Linked DNA regions of Alligator mississippiensis. The protein of the gene in region 1 binds, or shares a complex with, the protein of each later gene. Links are inferred from orthologs where the notes say so. Each region holds a gene or a part of one and is shown in the gene's direction. Other genes may lie near its edges. The genes, in order: TBL1XR1 and CORO2A.

Region 1 (11,822 bases):
ACTTTAAACATGGAATTTTCCTGCAATTGCATCCTGGCACCCTGAGATAATCCACTTCTGTCTTACTTTACCTTTAAACCCAAATACTTCTTAGCAGATTGAGGTTTGAAAGGTGTGTGATATCTCCTGACGCCGCACCCTTTTTTGTAACATTGCTGAAATAAAACAAGTCAGGATTTGTTTAGCCTTTTTGTGATGTACATGTAACATCTGGGGTACATCCAGTTACAGACGCGTAACATCCAGCTGTGTATGGTGTTTAACTATGACTATGTAATTAAAAGGTGGTTCTTAGTATTTCTATTTGAAAAGTAATGCACTCTTTCCTGTTCAAAAAGTGTGGATATTTACATATCCACCATTTAAAAAAGCTATGTTGAAATAATGCTTAAGGATATTATTAAAGTAAGACAGTAAATTTGATCCCCTGTCCTTAACTCAACTCATTGTGCATGATGCAATTCCTGCAGGAGTTTTAGAACAGTGTGATCTTCTGGGGTGTGCTTGCAATGCAAAGAAGTTATTTAACAATCATTGTAACCTTTTGCCAGAATTTTGTATGCCAAAGACACGTGGCCATAATTCACAGAGCACCAACATTAACTTTGTTAACCTAGCCTATCTGTTTAAAAAAAAAGTTTTAAATGTCATCCAATGCAGAAAACCGTGTTAACTCCCAAAGTGAGATACCTGTCAGTGTCATTCCTTGCTTGCTCACTGTTCTGCTTCTCTTTCCTGTATCTATGCACAGCACTGCACTATTGCCCGGGGGCCAGAGCCTGACAGGGTATGCACCTTCCATGAAGCATCAATCACACTCAAAGAAGAGTGATTTTTTTTTTCCCCAAAGCAACAGGGATTGACCACTGGCTGGAGGATGAACACAGTAAATCAGTGGCATGATCTGGATACCCATAGCATGTTTCTGCCAGTCCTTCTGCAGCCAAAGCATAGCATTGGAAGTATCAGGCAAAAAAAAAAAAAAAAAAAGATGAGAAAAAGCTTGAACATGCTTAAAAAGGGCTGTTTCTTAGGAGAAGGTGAGGGCTGGAAGCTCCTCTCTGAAAGGAAGAATTAAAAAAACTAGTATTGTTAGCCTCACACTTTCTTTATACAAAGCAGCAACTTTTCCAGGTGTACGTGTACAAATATAAGCACATAAAGCTGGATTTCCAAAAAAAGTCCTGCTGGTTTTATGGGTGATGGGCTAGCAGCTGAGAAACTTTGGCTGGCATGGGGCCTACATTTAGAGAAATGCTTTAAACCCCCAACGATAGATTCCAACACTGTCAGGCTTAAGCCACATTAATTGTTTCCCTGCTACCGTGCATAGTGACCTCTAAACATACCACGTGAAATCCATCCTTTTTAGTAGCACAAGGCCTGTTTCCTCACTTAAATCCCTTAGATTACCACAAGTTATTGGCTCATTGTTACATAGGTATACTAGAACCATTTTACAACACTGTGAGTATGCTCTCAGAAATGCAGTCATACCAGATATCTTCACGCCTCAAAGGCAGTTAGTTGGCCTTTAGCCTGGGTTCAAACAATGCACCAAAGATAGAAAGGTAAATGGCCGCTCATTATGTGCGTTATTGCTCCAAGTCTAGTTAAGGCAACAAATAAGTCTCTTGGATCAATATATACAGATCTGTTTGTTAAGCATCTTATTATTTTATAATTGACTCATTTTTTTCTCTATAGATACCTACACTGTATGTAACACACTTACCATTTAAATAACTGGTATTATTTGTATTAATAATAATATAATATTATTAATACAAGAATAATATAATAATATTGGTATTATATAAATGGAATAAATATTATGTGTATTTAGAGTGTCTGCTGAAAAACAACCTTCAGAAAAGGTTGGCATCACATGAGCACCAGGCATGTTGGAAAGAAAGTGTAATGTCTTGGCTGTTGTCCCAAATACATGCAGAAGATACTACTGATTTAATTGCTAGGCTAAATGTAGGGTAGAAGTACAAGGTCTGATATTAAAAGGTGCTCAGCTCCTACCACAATCTACAGGTTTCTCTCGCTTTATGCGGGTTCTGTATGTGCGAATTCGCTCTTATGCAATGACCCTTTGTACACCAAAAATTAGTTATATGAGAGGTAAATTCACCCTTATGTGATCAGTGTGGTGGAAGCCCACAGTCAGCTGCTTTATGCGGTGCATTGTGGGAGTGACGCGCGCCAAAATATAGTCTCCTGCGTGGATCTGTGCTCCTTGCTTGTTGTCTGCAACACATGTTTCTGCAGTTGCCATCCCCGTAATGATAGTGCCCTGTGCTTGTGTGTACTGTCTGCTGTCGGCGAGTACCAAAATTGTCTTGTAAAAGTGGTAGAAATGGCTCTGGGGGTCACTACAGTCGAGGTCTTGGAATGTATCCCTATTCATTACATTGGAAAGTGGGGTCCCTTTATGAAAATTTGAGTTATGCATCATTTTCCAGGAATGCATGTACAGCATAAAGCGAGGGAAACCTCTGTTACCTTTTTGAATCTGCCAACAAAAATGGGGTCAATTCTGGTGAGCTACCACGCACATAAAATGAGTCCCTCCAAACTGAAGAACCATTGTTTTCTTTTTCCTTTGACACGCATGCAATACACAGACAAACCAGTTTCATTGCTGGAAACTGGGGAAAGCAGCCCACTCTTAAGAGATCCCCCATGTTCTCATGTTCTTCTATAGCTGCATGCTCTCAATGGTCTTGTATAGTGTTAAACAAATTAATGTGTTCTCTGCTGTACTGAAGCAGATAGAAAACTCAGGTTCTATCTGAGCCGTGCTCCAGAATTTGTGCTTGTCCACATTGGGAAGTTATCTAGAAATTGCCAGGGTATAAATTGACATAATAGTCACTCCTGAATAGTTAGTTCCCTTATGTCACACCAAGACTCCAATAAACTCCAAGTTGCGGCCCCATGACACACCCTGTCAACCCAAATTAAGAATGCTTAACCTGGGAAATTTAGACTTGTTTCTATTCCAGGGCAGTTTCTTTTTGGGACAGGGGTAGGTACACTGACATATAGGAGGAACCTTGTGGCAAAAGCCTAGCAACTATCTCAAAACAGCTCTATTTGTGTAGCCATGAGCACTTTTGTGTGGTGTAGGCTAATCCACATTGGAACATTTACTGTGAAAAGCCCTCTTAAAGTGGAGTACAAGTGCCTACACAGTGTGCTTCTAGGTATTCCCGGCTCTTCCCCCTTCCTCCTCAGTCATAGCAGAGTACTTAAGCATATCCCTGACATCAAGCATATGGACAGTCCCATCAAAGTCAGTAGGGCTAAGTAGCACAGTTTTAAGTATCAGACTGAATCAGGGCTTGCATGCATATCAAAGACAATACGGTAATTTTTATGAGAAAAAGGATTTGCCCTAGTCCTGGCCAGAACTGGCACACCCCTTACTATTGCACAATGTATGAGTCATTATCACCTTCCACCCAATTCTCTACATGGCTGCATTTCCCTGATACTGTATTTGTAAAGGACAGGAAGCTAAAATCAGTCTCATTCACAAAGGGCTCTTTACATGATCAAGGTCTAACTCTAGAAGCAAACAATGGTTTAGGGACAATAATAATAATAATAATATTGAAACCTATACTTTAGCATGCAGCCACTATGAAAGGCTGGGCCTGATCCCTTTCCCTCTTATATCAAGTATTATCTTTCTACTTGTGTATATTTAAGCCTTTCAACTGGTCCCAGTAAAACATACTGAATTTAAAGGGTTAGAATTCAAATTATGATATAGATTTAAGATACTGTCATTGTTCATTATTTGCTGAAAATGCTTATAAAACAAATATTACTGATATATTTGCATTCCAAAAAATAGTTTGAATATGTGGCATTAAAAAAAACAACAGCAGCTATACAGTGCTTACCTATCCGTATCTCACAGGGCATTGCGAGGATTAATTGATTCTTGCAAAGATGTAAAATGCTACATAAGTATCATTGGTTCTAAGTGCTTTGAAAATAGAAACCATTCTCTGAGTGCCAAGTATTATTGTTTATGGAGCACAGACTGTGTGTGGTGCTGTGCATACTCAGTTGATGATACTGCAAACACAGCTTCTGAACACGGCATTCACTACTATATGAGTAATTTCACCAGCTTCAGGGAGACTGCTCAGGGACAACGCAGGGCCACTATTTTCCGACATCACTAAAAGCGAGTCACAGCCTTATTAAAGTACCTAGAAAATGAAAAGTTTATTCTTATTTAGGGATGTGCTAGAAACATAACTCAGATCCAAATTTTGTAGGACTTAGGATCCACTTCCTGACGGAAACACTGTGGTTTGTCCTGTGTCTATCATTACTAGATGGCTTGTAAAACAAAAGGTGCTACAGATTATTATTTAGTTAAAAGTACCTTCTTCTCTTTTCCTCCATGCCAAGTTGTCTGTGTACAGCCTCCATCCCCCCCAGACCAGGGGTCCACTTTCTCTCCACAGAGCCAGGAGTTCTGCATGAATGAGCAAGCTCCCATTTCCCCCCCATCTCCATCCTACATTATCATTTCTATTCTTTCAGCTAGGAGGGGAAATAATTCAAAGTGACTGGGTACCACCATCAATTGCATCTTGCTGTTGCAGGGGTGCATGAAGCTGTGGCTCTCTTAAACAGGGAAAAGGAGTTCCCCTTCCATCTGCTCCCCAACATCAATGGTGTTCTTGTCTGTTTCCTGGAATTTTTTAATTGAACAGGTGTCGTGTCCAAAAGTTAATATGCCAAACTTGCTAGGTAGACAAACGGACAAGAAATACCATCAGGTGGAGTGTAGGACCTTGCAAACTCAGCCCATTAAAAATCAATTAAAAAGATAAACATTTAGTAATACCGAATTACTTAATTCAGTAATTCAGCACAACAATCCACTGGATGGCAATTAATGATATAAACCCCTCCTTCACAGTCTTCTGTTCCCATATATGATACAGCCGTCTCCAAAATTCTGCGGAAATAGACTTTGCAGCCTTGTCTGGAAGGCCAAGTGTTGAGCTATTTTGGATGGCACAATGAAAAATGCTATTTTCTGCAAGTACTGATTATTATTATTATAGCTATTTAGAAAGCACCGAACAAAAAGCACTCTGGCCCTGATCCTGCAAAACCGAACAATGGGGCTGATCCTTGGCGTCCGCTGAAGTCCTGGAGTTTGGCTTCCTGTGGAATTGTGCTAGGGCACAAGGATCCATCTACGTGGATCAGCTTGCAGGTCCAGGACCAGTATAAGGTGATGCTCACCCATATCAAGCCTGGTAATTAGGACAAATGCAAAATTTTCCCCCACCACGGAGCAGAAATGACACCATGGTACAGATCTTCATAGCTCCTACTCTAAGGCTGTGGCCTGGAACAGCGACTGAGCCTCTCTGTCACTTACAGAGGGGTTGGGAGTATTTTGGCCGCCTGTGAAGCATGCTGGTATGAAGTCTCTACTTGGAATTCATCCCGCAGCTCCTATTCCTGCAGGCCGATCAGTTTGGGACTTGTAGGGGCATTGCTCATGAAGATTTGACTGCAGGATCTGAGCTAGGCAAGTGCTCAGAAAAAAGCCCCAAGATGATTCATATGAATGAATCCTGCTTTGGAAAACCTGAATTGTGATATAAATGCTAAATATTATTAGAGTCTGAAAAAGAACAGTGTGCATGGGACTAAATATAATGAAAAAGAAGGATTTTACTAAGAAACAGGAACGCTACAGCGCTGATCCTGTAATGGCTGGGTCAGGGCGTAAGGACCAGACACTACAGTTAATAATCAAGCATTTAAAATAATAAAGCATTACAGACATGCTACATGTACATGATGCAAGTGCTCTGGCAATACACCATGGATGTGCTTAAAAAAATAAGAGCAACAATAAAAGCACAATGGCCAGCTCTATTGCCTTGCGCAAGCTGTTGCAAAGCTGTGTGCACACAATCTGGGAAACGCCTCTCCTGCTGTATTTGAACCCCAGTGCCTGTGCCTACTCCTCCTTGCTATTCTGGTTGCTGATGGTTTGTTCGACATCAGTAATAAATTAACAGTGCCTGACAATATTGCTCAGTGCAAACTGCTGCAGAGCTCTGGGAGGGTGCGCTCCCCTGGGTGGGGGAGGTCTCTTCTGGTTGAATTGGGACACTCATGGCTTCTGTTTCACCCCCATATGTTGCTTTGTTGGTGCTTTCTGCTTTGTGTAGTCCTACTAATCAAACCCCAGCCTTTGGCAAAAGTACAGTGTGCCACTAGCTTGCGGGGTGTAAGGAACATGAGTACATTTGTGAAAGGGCCTCCTTGGCTGTGCTGGACCCCAGCCCCCTATGCTCCTTGCACCACGCTTGGCCCTTGCTCTGCTGGCTGGCATGCTTTGAACAACAAACCAGCCCTGCCTGCCAAGACTGCCTTGTACTTCCTGGAGCACATGTGGGAGGGGAGGGGATTTCCCTTAGTATATTATACCCCCATGTCGTCCCCCTTCCCACCCCCCTATGCTAACCCACCCCCACAGCTGGCAGTCCTGGCTGTTGGTGGCTTGCCTATTTTCCAACAACAAAACCGCCTTGCTTGGCAATACCTCACGCAGCTGGCTTGCGAACGGGGAGAGAAGGGGGCAGCGTCCTGCATCCTGGCCCCCCCCAGTACCCCCTTCACCCCAGCCCAGGGCTTTGCTTGGCAATATCACACACAGCTGGCTTGCAAAGGGGGGTAAAAAGGGGCAGGATCCTGCATCTTCACACCAGTGCAGGGCTTTGCTTGGCAATATCTCGTGCAACTGGTGAGAAAAGGGGGCAAGGTCCTGCATCCTGCCCCCCGCCCCCAAGTGTCCCCCTTCATGCCCTTTACCCCAGCTCAGGACTTTGCTTAGCAATATCTCACCCATCTGGTTTGCAAAGGGGGCAGGATCCCCAGTGCCCTCTGTCACCCCAGCCCAGGACTTTGCAAACCACCTGCGTGAGATATTGCCAGGCAAAGCGGGCAGGCTCCAAAGAAGGTGAAAAGGGGGCAAAAAGGGGGCAAGGTCCTGCATCTCCCCCCCAGCCAGGACTGCTTGGCAATATCATGCATCTGCCTTGCAAAGAGGGGGAAAAGCGGGCAGGGTCCTGCATCTTCCCCCCAGCCCAGGGCTTTGCTTGGCAATATGCAGCTGGTGAGCAAAGGGGGGAGCAGGATCCTGCATCCTGCCCCCCCACAAAGTGTCCCTCTTCCCCCCCCAGCTCAGGGCTTTGCTTGGCAATACCATGCATTTGGCTTGTAAACCTCCCAGTGCCCCCCCTCCCCCGTGTGTGTGTGTGTGTGTGTGTGTGTGTTTGGGGGGGGTCCGAGGAGGGGAGAGGGGGGCAGGAGGGGCGGGAGGGTGCGCGCGGCGCCCCCCCGGGCCGGCCCATTTCCGTGCGGCCGGGCGCGCCGTCCCCGCACGGGGCGTCTCGAGCCGTTGGCTGCTCCGCGCCGTTTGGCTCCTTCCCCTAGTAACAGCTTCCTGCCGCCGGCCCCGCTCCGCGCCTCACACTCACTCACACACACACACACACACGCGTGCGTTACCGCTCTTCCTCCTCAGGACTTCATCCCCCACCCCTCCCCCTCCCCCCCTAATTGAATATCACAGCAGCATTTGGTGGTGACTTCCTCCCCTCCCCCCCCGTGTGTGTGTTTCCCTCCCCCTCCCCCCCCACTGCCTTTTTTTTTCTTTTTTTTTTTTTTCCCCTTCCTCTTCTCCCCTCCCCCCTCGGTGTGGGCACCTCAGCTAAAAGACACCCATTAGACACCTAGATGTAGCAAGGAGGAGACAGCCCGGGGTGAATTGCTTTTGGAGTTTGGGGGTTTTTTTAAATTTTTTTTTTATTATTATTTTTTTTTGGAGGGGGGGAGGGGGAGGGAGGGTGTGTGTGCGTGTGTGTGTGTTTCTCCATTGCAAAAACCAAGGGGGGGGAAGCAGCCACTCAGCCCTCCATTGCAAGGTAAGGATTTATTTTATTTGGGGGGGGTTTGCACCAGTAACCTCTGCCCCCTCCCAGTGCATAGGGGTGGGGGTGGGGGAGGGCAGCTGGTTGGAGAAGCGGGGTGGGGGATGGGCAGCACTAACATGCCTTTCCCCCCTCCCTCCCTTCCCTTCCCTTCCCTTCCCCCCTCCCCCTTGGCTGCCTGAGCAAGGGGTGTTTTTGGCTTTGGGGAGCCGCTGGTGAGCCTTGCATGCCCCCTTCCCCCCCTCGTCCCAGCTTGTTTGGGTGCTTTTGTGCCCCCCCAACACACCCCCTTCCTCTTCTCCTTTCCCACCCTTGGCTCCCCCTCCCCCCCCCAACCTTTTGGGTTTTATATATATTAAAATAAAGGGTGGGGAAAGGTGGTGGTGGGGGGGGGAAGGATTTTGCTGCAAATTGAATCAAGGAGCCATCATGAGGCAGGCTGGTTTCTAGCCTATTTTTAGCTTGATTGGTGTAAAGAAGAGGCATCTTGTAGGATTGAATGTGTTTATTTTGCAGTGCACATATTACAAAAAAAAAAAAAAAGAAAGAAGAGGGGGGTGTGGGGGCGGGAAGCCACCCCGAAGTGTGACCTTAGGTCTGTATTGATTGATTGATTGATTTTTTTGCAATGGGTTTCTGGTGCCTTTGTATGGGGTAGAAATGTGCTTGTGGCTGAACTCATGGTGGAGTGGGGGAGGGGAGTGCTCCTGTGTCCACACTTTTTTCCCCTCTGTGTGATTGTTTTGTTGTTTGTTTTCCCCTCCCCCCCTTCCCCTTCTATTTTTTCCTCTCTCCTTAATTTCCTTTCTTTGCAATTGTGCTGTGTGCATTTCCCTTTGGAAGTTCAAGGGAATGGTTTCCTTTGTGTTTCTGCAGCCCTGGGTGGGTGTGAGGGGGACCCTCTTGTATTTATCATTTGGATTTGAAGCTGGGAAGTGGCAAAGTTTTCTGTGTGTGGCAGTCCCCTGTTGAGGGTGGGCACATGAGCTTTGGGGTGGCACATGAGCTTTTTGGTGACGGGAAGGGCCACATGGAGAAGCAAGATGTGGGCCCTAGTTGTGGAAATGGAAGTGTTTCTGTTTTTTTTTTTTCATAAGTGTGTTGTGTTTTGTTTTTTTTCCCTGAGCTTGATCATTCAAAAAAAAATGCAAAATGAAGCAGTCAGGCTTGTCCTGTGCACTAGATCTTTACACCTAAAATGGAGAGAGGCTCTCTGAGTTGGTGATCGACCATGTGTAGCAGTTGTAACACCAAAACGTGCAGTCTCTTAGTCTGCTTTTGAAGGGGTGGACTTAGAAATTAAAGTTGTTACAGGTGAGTTGAATCTTTCAGCACTATATTCCCTGTGAAGGCAAAATTTATGAGAGAGAAAAGTCTCTTGTGAGAGCCTGGTATGTGTTTCGTGCTTTCTTGTTGCTTGAGATAGCAAGGTGAATCTTTTTTATTTTTTTTAAGAAAGTTTGGTCTGTAGGTTGCTGTGTGGGGTTGCCGTGTGAAGTTTGCTGTTGCAGTTTGTTTTTGGGTTTTTGGGTTTTTTTCACTACTGTCAAATGTACTCAACTTCCTTATTTTCCTGTCTGTGTAAATCGGTAAATTAACTGATTTATAGTCAAGCTGGCAAAGCATGCTCACTCTTTGTTATTAAAGGAGAGGAGGCAGAAACTTGTGGTCAGGAGGATTCTGCAGTTGTCACACACACAAATTGGCCTGAGCTTGACTACACAGCATTTTACTGTCATGAAGATATTACAATAAATACTTGAGGATGTTACAAAGCATATTCACAATGGAGATGTTTTATTATTGATGTTTTTTGCTCATTGGATACTGACTCAGGCTTTGATTTGGGCCCATTCTGCAGGAAGGTGCCATTTGCAAAATTTCAGGTATGGCTTTTGAATAATGCCTGAAGTTCTAGGGCTGTTTGGCAGCCCTCCTTATGCTTCAAATTAAGCACAGGCTTGGAGATCTGCCCTTGTGAAACTCATGGTGAGATTGGGGCCTTGATTGGGACCCATTCATGTTAATAATCTCATCAACCAATTTTATAAATGTGTTGATCCTGTGCAAAGTTGTTATGCGTGTGCTTAAAGTTGTGCAAGTGTCATATTGTTTGTAGATCTTGAAAACATAAGGGGTGGGAGAGGGACTGTTAAGATGAAATGTGCCAAGCACATTGTTGTTGCTGCTTAAATAATAGTAGCAGGTTTTCTGTGGCTTCCTATTGTGATGATTTCTTTTTTTCTTTTTGGTTAAAGCTATTATTTTAGAACTTACCTTTTACTTTTACTCCCAGGCCATTTGTGACTATCTGCTCTCTCTGTTTTACTAAGTTATGTTAGTTAAAGGAGTGCCAGGCTTTCTCTCCATGAAAATAGGGTTCATGTGGTATTGTATCTTGGGAATCCAGTGTCTTGGAAACCCAGGCTCCCAAATTATTATTGAGATCACTTGGGAAATATTTAGCATGCATTCCATAAGAAGAGAGGGAAGGGATGAACTGGGACTTAAATATGTGAGTAATTGGGACTTGTGTTTTGGCTTTTAGTATATCAATGAGTTAGATTTTTTTTTTTTATTTGGATTTGTGTACTTCATTTGGAGGACTGAATGCCTAACATCATTAGGTCTGTTTGCTGTGCAAGTGTAATACTTTCCTTCAGACTTCTATTTACAGTTTTGTTTTGTTTTTTTAAGAGAATTTGTACAAATGCTGCTTCTGGGTTTTTAATCTGTGAGGTAATGACTGGTGTGTGTGTGTGGTGCTTTGAAGTTACAAGGTGTTATGTAAATGCCAAGTACTTTACTAGTTTACTTGCAACTTCATAGTTGTTTTCCCCTTGTGAGAGAGCTTGATATTTCAAAGCACTGTGACCTCTTATAAGGAGTATCTGGTTGGACTGAGCATAAGTGGTCAGAACCATGAGCTGCATATGGTTTTTAAACTTTCAGTAAAACTTTTCTTAGACTGAATTACGCAATTTTACATTTACTTTGTCTGTCTTTCCTAAATTGACATGCTTGTGGGGCTTAAATCAGAAAATCCTGTAAATATGTAACACACATGGCTTATTCTTTTGCAGACCAATTATCTCATGTAGTCTCCACATGTACATAAGTTGCTCATATGGGTTGGTGTTTGTAGGGTTTGGAACTAAATTATTATTATATTTGTATTGCCTACATTATTTTGGGGGTGTGTCTACATACCCACAGAGAAATGAGCTGAGTATCTTTACTTCAGTATATGTCTACCAAAATAATATATTTTTTGCATGTTGATTATTTAATGTTTATAGATAATTTTTAAACTTCTGAAAAAGTACGCTGTGGGCAAAATAGTGTGTAGTACACACCCCATGCTCCTATTTCTAGGAAGGCTTCCTAAGTGACTACAGAGATGCTGCCCATCCTGCTTCACATGGAGGCATGGAAGGGTTGGCTACAGGTTGAATTTATACTGTAGTAAAGTTGGATGCTTGAAAAAGTTTGTTTTATTTCTTGTGGATGAGTTGGCTGGCACTTTCATTTGGAAAAGACAACATGTATGGTAGACACTAGTCACATTTGCAAAAAATCTGTGTGTTTGCAACTCCATTTGAAGTCAGGGAACAATTTTGTGTGCTTAGCGTCTCAGAAAATTAAGCCCTACTGGTATTTTGCTGAGTTTGCAAACTTCTTTTTCGGGCTGTAATGCCTGTTTTTCTCTGGGAGTAATGTTGGAGATGGAAGATTTACAACAATGGAATGAAGACTAAAAATGTTAAGTCACAGAGTACGTGGAGTATTTGCCTCAGTGTTGCGAAAGAGTGATCTTAATTATAA
Region 2 (11,050 bases), on another chromosome or scaffold:
AAGGATTTATTTTGCTTTCTTCTTGCTAGGAATGAGTCAGTGAAATAGATGGGGAAAGACTTTGCTAGGAACACAGAAGTTTGGCTATTGATGTCTGACATTGGACACCTCCATATGGGAAGGATCTTCGTAGTGCCATTAAGTAGTCTTCCAAGCCAGTCTTGTCTGAGACTATAAGATGCAGCTATAATGAATAAAGATGCACCAATATATCAGTGTCATATCAGATCAGCACCAATAAAAGGAAGATAAACTTTATCGACTTTTTTTGGCCAGTGTAGCCAATAATATCATCAATAAATACAATATGCCTTCTGGCTGGGGCCCCTGGACACCACATGCATGCGCACACACGGTGCACGTGGCTAGGAATGCAGCCAGGTAGCATGGAGAGCAGCACCCTGCATGTAAGTCTGTGGAGGGGAAGTGGCATGGGGGAGGGGGGCAGATCGAGGCCCCCACAGTGAGGGAGGGAGTGGGGCAGGGGCAGGAGCAGGGAGTGCTGCCTAGTCAGGGCAGTGAATGGGACCCCGGGGCTGGAGCCACAGGCAGTTTGTCCAGGGGCACTGGGGTGTGGCAGCTCCCCACCGCTGTGTGCACCACCCAGGGAGGCATTGGGGGGGCATGTGCTCCCCCCCAGATTTGTGCACGGGGAAGAGGCAGGCTACCTGTTGCAGCTTTGCGGCTCTCTGTGCTGCTGCCTTTGCTCTGGGAACCATGCACTGGCCACATGTCCCCTGCCCACCCGGCAGTGGTGGCGGTAGCAAGTGTTGCCTCCTGCCACCGTGCGGGCAGGGGACACACGGCCAATATGCAGGTCCTGGGGCAAAGGCAGCAGAGTGGAGAGCCCCAAGCTCACAGCAGGCAGCCTGCCTCCACCCTTACACTGCTTGGCTCCGCCCCTAAAAGCATCCCTGTGCTTAAAAATGGTGGTGGCGGGGCTTGAACTAAAGCTCGTTTCATGAGCTCTAGTTCAAGTGCCCCCTCTGCTATTTTTAAGCACCATTTTTAAGTGCCATTGATCCCCCGGATGAGCCACCTGCGGCTCCGTCTCACTCTTGCCCCGGGGTTCCATTCACCACCCTGACTGGGCAGCGCCTCCAGCCCCTACCCCACTCCCTCCCTCACCATGGGGGCCTCAATCTGCTCCCCCACACCCCTTCTTCTCCACAGACTTGCATGCAGGGAGCTGCTCTCCACACTGCCTGGTTGTATTCCTGTAAATTGGTTATTAGATCAGTATCGGCTGATATCCTGGTGAATAACTGGCTATTGGTATCGGCCAACAAAATCTTATATCGGTGCACCCCTAATAATGAATACTACTTACAGACCTTAGTTTGCATGTGTGCATAAATTGTATACTGACTCTGACCCTTAATTGTGGATGTCTATAATCTATGTTGCTCTTGACCTTATTTTACATGGGATGGGGCTCTCAATGCCTACAGTTGTTAGTCTGTGCCATCACTTGGGTAGTGTTAGTGCAGAGATGAGTTCTGAGTAGGCAGTAGGGACTCTACTTGTAGTAATCTGTCCAAATCAGCACATAGACAATGCCCAGGGGAGTGTATGTGTCTGTGTGTACGGGCAGGAGAAGGCAGGGGGGACATTGCCTGTTTCTGCTACATGCAGGTTGTCACAACCCAGTGATTTTGGTGCCTCGGCACGGTGGAATTTTCCCGCCACATGAGAGCCTCTTGCAAAGTAAAGGCTTTCTGTTGTTGCAGAAAACCCCCGGTGCAGGAGAGTTCCTGCCATTCGAATGTAAATTTGTGTCCCGCTATTGGCCAGTTCTAAATTATGCACACGTGGCGGCTAGTAATTGGCTTGCTGGCCGTTTAAAAATTAGCGCGACTTCCGCCCAAGTCGGAGAACTTTGAGCACGCTGCAGAGTGCTTCTGAAGAGATCTGACTCGTGGCTGAGCTGATCGATAGACTGATCACCTATTGATTCGTCTCCCCGTCGCCGAGTGCAATCCCAGACGTATCCTTTTCCCTGCCGGCCCGATTTGTAGACGGACGTGCTGGCCTGAGCCCTGCCAGCTGGAACAACTAACGTAGTTGTTCAGACGACTGGACCATTTTTGTCGCAACAGCAAGCGACGTAAGTAAAGTTTTACAACCATAAAGCTTTCTCGGCCTCTCTATTCACCAGCCCGCCCCGACGAACGAGTAATTATTGAATCACCTCGAGTCGGCTTTGGCCGTCTGGGACACAGGTGAGGCTTTCTTGTCATTTCAGAAACCCTGCCTATAACATCTGTGAATCCAAGCAGCTCCGGGTGAATGACAGCTTCTTTAGTTTCAGTGAATTCCCAGAGCACCCTGAGAATTTGGAGGAGGAACAGTTAGGGGAAGGTGCCCATTCTCCTCACAGCCTGGCATCCCTGTTGTGCAGCCACCCTTGTAGACGCTGACCCAGAATGGAAGGGTTGGTTGGACCTCCTGGAGAACAAATTCCATACTGCACTCTTTAGCATCCTCTCCTTGTTCTGGGTGCCTGCTGCACTGGCAGTCATGGGTCATGCTTTCACTGAGCCAATTTGTCCCCACTGGGCATCTGGGCCTATTTTTTACTGTTTTCCCACTTGCTCTGTCTTAGACCAGCATGTGGCTGGTTCCTGCTCAGTCTCAAGCAGTAAACAGAGTGGTCAAGTTCCTCCTATCAGCAGATCCTCTGTTATGACAGCCACTGCTGGCTCACACCTACCCCCTGCTACCTGCTGTCTCACAGTTCAGTCAAGTTTGGCCTCCTATGGCCACAGTACACACTCTAGTCATGCTCTATGATCTCAAGTTCCACATAGAGCAATCTCAAGTTTGGGGTGCACCCATTAGTCATCCCCTTTCTGTGGCTTCCTCCATACGTATAGCTACAACCTGGCCATCCGGGAGAGAGGGGGGAGGGAAAGGGGGAAATGAAACCCCCAAAGTGCAAGCACCAGTCCAAAGGAATGGTCTGCCTGTGGTTCACTGCACCCCTTGGTGGTGGGCTCCATGTAGAAAAACCACAACAGAAAGTGCCCAGGTTACTTGACTTGCTTCCTGGACCTGGAAGCCATCTTGCTGCAAGTTCCCCTGCCTGGGTCCCCTGGCTCTGCCTGCACCTGGACCCAGCAGCCATCTTACTGCAGTCCCCCCCTCCCTCTGAATTTGGCTCAGGGGTTACCCCCAGGGCACAGGTAGAGAGAGAGAGAGAGAGGACTGAGATGAAGTGGAAGGTGGCCAGGGGAAAGGGGGAAGGGACCTCTACCAAGGGAAGGAAGCACTGGTCAACACACAGCAAGATAAGGAAGGAAAAGCTTTAGAAAGGGGAGGGTGATGAAAGAGGGGGGAATGGGCCAGAGGTGTCTGGCCTTCTTTTCATTCTAGAAACGGGGTAGAAGCCCCATTAGAGGTGGGCAGGCAGGGTCTCTGGACTCCATGGAGACCAGCCAGGACTCCCGCAGGCAGGGCACGCTTGGGCGGGCAGATGGGATGAGTCCGCAGGCGGGCATGGAGCAGTGTCTGGCTGGGAGTTGGACAGGTGGGCAGGGGCTGGGGCTGGGATTGCAGGGCAGTGACAGTGTGGGGATAGGGCCTAGGATAGAGCCATGATCCACTTCCCACATGTCCCTGTGATGGGCACCAGTTCTGTGGGCAGGGACATGTGGGGAGTGGATGGAGGCTCTGCCCCGGTCTCTGGGCTGGCTCCACAGTGTCACTGGCCTGTAATCCTGGCCTCCCATAAGGCCAGCATGCAGCACATCCATCTCTCAATGCACCCTGGACTCAGGACTGAAGAACTGTCCCCCCACTGCCTCTATGTGTGCCACCAAACTAGGCAGGCATTGTGATAGAAACATGCTCAGGCACATATTTTCAGCTTCCAACAACTCCCAGGTAATCCTGATAAGTGGAGAAAAGCAAACAATCTTCTTTGCATGATGGGTCACGTCCACATTGCTCATCCACCCACAGCATGGGATGTTCAGTTGTTAGCACTGCTGCAATCCAGAAGGAAGAAATGTTGTTCCTATTACAGTATATTATTATTTGGAAGCTGAGCCAGTGATTAGTCTGGGCTCGTTACCAGCAGCACTTGGCTCTGGTGTAATATTCTCATGTGTCATCCTGGATCGGAGGCTGGTCCTTACTCTCTCTGTGTGATTATATTCCATAAACCTGAGTGCTGAAAAATGCTACACATTGTTCTTATGTGAAAATCAAAGAGTGACCTGTGTGTTTGACTTGCCAAACCCTCCTACACAAGTTCAGAATGTCACTGAGCTGTCTGTCAATTTGCCCCTTAGCCTGTCCTCTGTCACTCTCATTCTCATGAAGGTGTCTGTCTCTTCAAATGTTATCCTCAGTTAAATTTAAAATGGACCAGATGCTATGTTCCCTGGGCTCAGGCTGCCCCATAAGAGGTCCATTTAAGAGGCTCATGAGAAATAGCTTCTTTTCATAGGAAATCCCTAGAGCTAACAGGCCTGGCTAGAGGTATTCCATTTGTGCTATAGGATTTGATCCTTAGCTAGGTGCAATCTGCTCAGGTCACTTTAATGCAGGTATGTTGGATTACACCTGCTAAGAATATGGCCTATCATTTCTCCCAGCTCTAGGGTTCATTGAGCAAAGGTAACCAAGCCAGAAGGGAATTTGCCCTGCAATCACTTGTGCAGCTGTCATGAGGTAGTAGCTCAGCAGCTCTGTTCATAATTTTCCTTTCTTTTGGGAGATGGCCACTACAATTGTGTGTCCCGCTGTGCACCTTGGCAGCACCTCTCAGCCACAGAGTGGCCTAAACCTGAGCTAATTTTTTCACTGTTTTCTAACACTCACACATTCCAAACATGGTGCACCCTCTCTGAATGCACATAAGGTGCATAAACCAGACTTCATAAACCAGATTGCCAGGGGAGTCAACCAATCCACTCCTTAGCTGGCAGAAACCCATGAGAGTTAATCCAGAGTGTTGGTCAGAGACACAAGAAAAGAACGTTAGAAAAGGCCAGGAATGTAAAGCACCAGTCCAAATGTGCTACCATCTTGAAGAGCAGCCAGAGCTAACATTAGACCTCACAACTTTGTTTGAAGGCATCAAAAGGCTGCATGGGCTTGTGGGAAGATAATGAAAGGTCATCTGCCCATTGTGGGATATGTTTTAGTGGAAACTGGCTTCAGCAAGTCAGCAGTTGCTCTACACACACACACACTCTTGTTAAAAGGAAAAAAATGCATGGACCTTGGAGCAGAGTTAGAAGGACAGAAGTTGGAGGTGTGCTAAGGAGTCAATCCACGTGCTCATGGATAGTACATGAGCTGAAGCACCTCTGTGCTAGTTCTGTGATTAAAGAGTTGGTTTAATGTACAGATACAGGCCCAAATTCCACTTATCTTGAGAAGGGCAAGTAGGGGTTAGGGCATTTGCCAGAAACACCTGAGTCCTAGGCCCACTTCACGCAGTGAAGTGCCTTGGCTACCAGGAATTGCCCAAAGCACTCTGCAGCCCTCCCTTTGAAGCTGACTCACTGGGCAGCCAAGGGGAGAAGATATGTGCAACAAAAGATTAAAGTGGGAGGGTGCATTGCTCAGTGAAAAGGATGCTGCCATAGAAAGGCTGGGGCTGGGTTCTGGTCTCTTACCCTTGCTGGGGCAGATGGTTTCCTACTGCAGTCTACCCAATGACTTAAATACAAGACTACCAATGGGGCAGGAGTCAGGCTATGGGTGACTGATGCCGCCTTAGTCAGGGGGGGCACAGGGGGGGACCAGTCCTCACCTAACTGGCAAGTGCAGCTGGTCAGGAGGTGCATTGGCGCTCTCGGTGGGGCATGTGCACCCCTCCCCCCCCACATCCCCACTGAGTCAGGCAGAAGAAACAGCTATGTGGCATGCTGAGAACATAGCTAATGCTTCTGCCTGTGACCCTTCCTTTCTCTGTGGCCATCAGCTTGGGGGAAATCTCGTGATATGTTACTAGGGCTCCTGTGGCAGACAGATGCTGACTTGACGACTGCTTGTCCTGCAGAGGGCTCTGGGTAGAAAAGGCAAGTGTTAATAGCGTGGACACATATATAGACAGACAGTTAAGTCCTCTGGAAGTGGTGCCCACATCCATATGTGCCAGCCAGAGCCCAGCCAAGAGAGATCACACAAGATCAGTCCTGGATGATGCAGGACAGCCTCGAGACACTCCCGACACATGAGCAGGAGGTTGCACTCTGCTCCCCCATCAGCAATGCCAGCTACCAGAGCTGCAGGCTCCCACAGCCCAAGGCCTCAGGGACTAGTCTTGCTGCATGTTTCTCCTGGGAATCTGCCCCAATCACCCATTTAGGCACCAACAGACACCGAGCGCATCCTCGGAGCAAAGCAGCTCAGCCCCTGCCCTGGCTCTCGTGAAGGCTCAGTGTCCTGCAACCCCTTAAAACGTTGCTTTATTTCTTGTTAAGCTCCGCGCCTGCCCCTGCCCTGCGCTCACCCTTGCCAGAGGAAGCCCTGCTGAAGGGAAGGGGCTGATGCGATGCGCCAGCAGGAGCTGAGTCCCCCACGCGACAGAGCGCTCCCGCAACGTGCCCTGCACCAGGTCCCGGGAGAGCGCAGGCCGGGGAAGGGAAGGGCAGGTCTGCCTAGGTGGAGCCAGGCTCCGCCCGCCCTCATGCATATGCAGCGGCTCTCCCTGCCGAGGTTCCTATTTCTGCCGCACACAAAGGAAGGAAATCTCTTTCTCTGATCCTTTTCTCTCCTCCCCCACCCCCCCGGAGCCCCGACCTCCCCGCCCCGGGCTGTGCTGCAGGGACTGTGCGGTGTCCCCGCAGCTCGCTCTGCCGCTGCCAGGCGCTGGGAAGCTGGAGGTTACTTGGTTTGTTGGGTGGGTGTTTTTTTTTTGCTTTTCGTTTCGGATCCTCCCTGCTCTCTCGTGCCTCTTGCAGCAGGCGAGCCAGGCAGCCCTGTGTCATGACTTATGAATGAGCGTGACTCAGGGATCGCCCACACTCCGCAAGGGGATCCTCCGTCCGAGCCGGCAGGGAGGCAGGGCTGGGCTGCGTGTGCCTGCAGAATTGGAGATCGCTGCTGCAGCGGGTGCTGGACACCACGCCCTCCCTGGCCTGGAGTAATCCTGCATGACCATCACAAAGGTAGGAGAGCATCGGACTGGAGCGCAGGGTGCACCTGCTGCTAAAAGGCAGACAAGGTGCTTTGGGTCAATCTGGTATCTTTTATTAGACCAGCTTAAAGAGTGGGAAAACATTTTGCTTTGCAAGCTTTCGGGTAGAAAATCCCCTTCCGCAGGCTGAGGAAGCATCTGCAGTTGGTGTGCGCTCTTCTTGGATGGAATGAATAGTAAAGAAGCCAGAGGCTGGGCTGCACACAAGACAGGCAGTCAGTGAAGATGTAGATTGAGGAGCCAGTGGGTGAGAGACAGGCTGGGTAGGGGGGAGAAGGGGGATGAATGTAACAGTTAAATAGTGGAGAGGTACCTGGGGGAGTCAGATGTTAGGCAGGTTATATATAATGTGTCATCAATCCAATGTCTATATTTAGTCCATGATTTTTAGTATCCAGGGGGTTGATGAAGTGAAGTTCATAGGCTTATTTGTGAAAGGTGTTCTGTAAATTCCCCTTGAGGATCAGAACTGAAAGATTGGAGAGAGAGTGGTTTTCTTGTGAGAAACGTGCCCGCACAGCTAATTGGGTATTCTTGTCTTTGATAGATTTCCACAGTTGTTGTTTGGTCTCTCGTACAAATTTTCCATCGGGGCATTTGGTGCATTGGATGAGATGTATTACATTTCTGGAGGTGCAGCTGTAAGATCCAGGAATGGTGATGGTTCTGTTGTGGGATGTAGTAATTGTGGGGGTGGTGGAGATATGTTGGCAGGTTTTACATTTCTTGTCCTGGCATGGTCTGGATCCATTTGGTGTATTTTGGGCCATAGAAAGTTTGCTTCTGGTTATGAGGTTAGTGAGGTTTGGTGCTTGTTTGAAGGCTAGGATGGGTGGTTCTGGGAAGATCTCTTTAAGAACTGGGTCTCCTTCTAGTAGAGGTTGCAATTGTTTGAGGATTTTCTGTATAGGTTCCAGGGAGGGGTGATGTGTCGTAACCAGTAGTGTGCGATTCATGAGGGTTTTCCTTCTGTACTGTAGCAATTCTTCATATAGTATCTGGGTGGCTCTTTCAATAGTTCAATCTATCTCTCTGGAGGCATGTCCTTGTTGAGCGAAAGCATTTTTGAGATTTGTGGGGTGGCAATCATGGGTGTTTGGCAGGGCAGATGACACTTTTTTAGACCTAATCTACCTTTGCAGGCAATTGGAAAAGTTGGCATCTGTGTGGTGTCTGCTATGTGACCCAGAGGGAAAACCAGCAGCATTCTCTGTGGACTGGCAATGCATGTAGCCTGTCCAGGTTGTATTTGGTGTGTGCTCTGGGTGTGGGTTGAGCTGCATGCAGCATGCAGTCCCACAGGATGCAGGTATTGATGTCTCTCCAGCTTTGCCCTGCTTGTGGTCTGGGAAGGGTGGTGGCAGCATGTTGCTTGCAATCCCCACTGGGTGGAAAGGCAATAGCTTTGGGCATGATGTGCTGCCAGTGGAAAGTGCAGGCAGGCAGCTATGTTGTGCAGCCCACGCAGCCCTAAGGGAACAGCTTCCCTTTTACACTTTTATGCTGTGGTGGTGTCCTGACAGTGCTGCATGTAAAAAGGTCTGGTGAGAACTCAGTGCCGGGGGAGAGGCTGGAGCAGAATCCAAAAGACCTTGGAAATCCATAGCACTGGGAAGCATTACAAAGCCAGTCCAGACAGTGCCATGATGGAGCTGAAAGCTTAGGAAAGGCTGAATTTGGGGACACTGGCTCTCTACCTCAGTCTGATATGTGTAGAGTTGAGCAATAACTCTGTGCCCCCACAATAGCTCTTTGGCAGGCTGTGCTAGCAGGATTTGTGCTTTGAGGGGCTACCAGAGCCAGAAGGGGAGAGAGTCACTTTTTACTTGCACTGGGCTGGTGCCACTGGAGAGAGCAGCCCTGTCCCTTTCACTTCTGCCATGCTTTGACTCCAACACCCTCTGCACCTTGGGCCTCTCAGCAGTCCCAAGGTGGGTGCAAAGACAAAACTTCTCCCAGCTGGGCCTCAGGAGTTTGGTCCTCTGCCTAGGGCTGGATGAGATGCAAAAGTGCAGTCACAAAGTCACTGCCTGATGCAGGGCCCCTCTGAGTCTTCAGGAGAATCCAGCACAGAGTACGTGGGTCCTCAAAACCCCACCCCTACATAGACACATACACACATGGTGTCCAACACATGCAGGCACATGGATATGCAGTGTACACATACACACATGCCTGGGGCTAGGAGCAAATGATCTTGTACCTGGTGTGTGGAGGGTGGTGACCACACAGCCCATCATGAGCTCTAGGACTTTCATTTGCCATCATGAGCTCTAGGACTTTCTTTGCTTGTATGTTTGGCACCTCATTTTGACTGTCTTGGCTGTCCAGGCCAAACTCTGTCACGTTCCCTCCCTTCCAGGGCAGATAATCTTGTAGCCTAGAGGTGCTGGATGGTTACTTTCCACTGTTCCTCTATGCCCTGGGCAGCAGCTTCCTGCACCACGTGATACTGCACTTTCCTGCAGAGACAAAGGTTCCTCTTCTTCCCCGAAAGGCTACCCCTTCCGGGTTCGAGTCTGCTGTCAGTTGGCCAGCTGGATGGGACTCCAGCAGTAGGCACTTTGATGGAGCCTCTGGGAAGCAGGGCAGTAAGCTGCAGCTCCCAGTCCATGCACTGGATCAGCTTTTACTAGCCCAGGGGTTTTCAACTGGAGGTACACATACCCCTGGGGGTACTTCTGATGGCCTCAGGAGGTACTTGGCAGTGGGAGTCTTGTCAACTGGCTTCTGGGGGACCCGCCCCCCCGTCCCGCTGCTCGTCTGGCTGCTGGGGGACTCCTGCCTTGTCAACCGGCTGCTGGGGGTACAATGACCCAAAAAGGTTGAAAACCCCTGTACTAGCCCATGGGGAACATCTCTGCCCCCATGATTACTATAAAATACTTAACTGGCTTTGTTGTAACGTCCTCTGCAGCTCTGCTTGCCCTAGAATCTTGGCAAACAAGAATGGTGCTCCAGCAGCCTCATGGAGGTGAACACAGAGGTAAACTAACTCTTTCCAGGTCATCTGAGAAGCTCATAGACAGGAGGGGAGTGAATTCTGGTATTTAGCCAACAGTCTTCTGGCTAGGGGCTGGGGGCTGTGAACCTTACTGTACTTCGATAGCTGCTATAGGCTTGTGCCCCAGAGAGATGAGCAGCAGGACTAGCAAGGCATAGTTAAGTGCATGCACTTTGCTGCAGCCCCTCCCTGCTTTGTGTGGTCTGGGCCTGGGCTGTTCTTCACAGAGCAGAGTATACCAGAGGCTGGAGCTGCACAGCTGTCACAAACCCCCTGAATCCCACACAGCCAACTGCATGCAGCTCAACTATCTGCTTTGCCTGGAGGATGGTGGCATGGGTTGCACTGGGCAGTTGAGCCCTGAGTATCCCCCTCCATCTTATAGCAGTGAGAGCAGCATGCTGGCCAATGTACCCTTTGCTGCAAGGACATCAATCCCAGCCTCACCCTGCACATCTTAAGCTGCTCCAAGGCTGTGGGTGTGTCTCATAGTATACAACAGGAGCTGAAAGTGTCCAGCACTATGGAGGTTCAGGTGCTCAGCACATACCATGGGTGGAAGTTACTCTATCTTCACTTCTCTTTGGTTGTACTTGCTCTTGGAAGGCTGCAGGATGTCATTAAGATCCCTGCAGCCTGTCTGTGTGCAGTAACAGCAGGAGTTAGTGGTCAGTGGTCTCTGCATTGTCTGTGACATCCCCTCTGCAGGCTGCATGAGTAGGACTTCCCCTCTCTGCCCCTTTGACTATGTGATTGCAACTATGTCCCCCAGGCAATTTCCTGGAATTTCTTTCTGTATCTTAAGCTTTACCATCTGAAACCGGCTACTTTTGTACCCCATTATCATCAGTGGAGCCACAGGAGAGTCACCCAGGGCAGAATTTGGCCCA

The links.
Region 2: TBL1XR1 (region 1) and CORO2A share a complex: the UniProt entries of both Homo sapiens proteins name them as parts of the N-Cor repressor complex. The link is inferred for Alligator mississippiensis from reciprocal best matches to the Homo sapiens genes TBL1XR1 and CORO2A.

What each region holds. Positions count from the first base shown.
Region 1 is NC_081830.1:79,320,459-79,332,280, reverse strand, and holds the start of TBL1XR1 (F-box-like/WD repeat-containing protein TBL1XR1), read left to right. Parts: upstream 1-7,495; 5' UTR 7,496-7,991; intron 7,992-8,166; exon of another isoform or gene 8,167-8,212; intron 8,213-8,587; exon of another isoform or gene 8,588-8,879; intron 8,880-9,123; 5' UTR 9,124-9,311; intron 9,312-10,423; exon of another isoform or gene 10,424-10,512; intron 10,513-11,822. UniProt on the Homo sapiens protein: F-box-like protein involved in the recruitment of the ubiquitin/19S proteasome complex to nuclear receptor-regulated transcription units. Plays an essential role in transcription activation mediated by nuclear receptors.
Region 2 is NC_081826.1:153,244,169-153,255,218, forward strand, and holds the start of CORO2A (coronin-2A), read left to right. Parts: upstream 1-6,647; 5' UTR 6,648-7,112; coding exon 7,113-7,127; intron 7,128-11,050.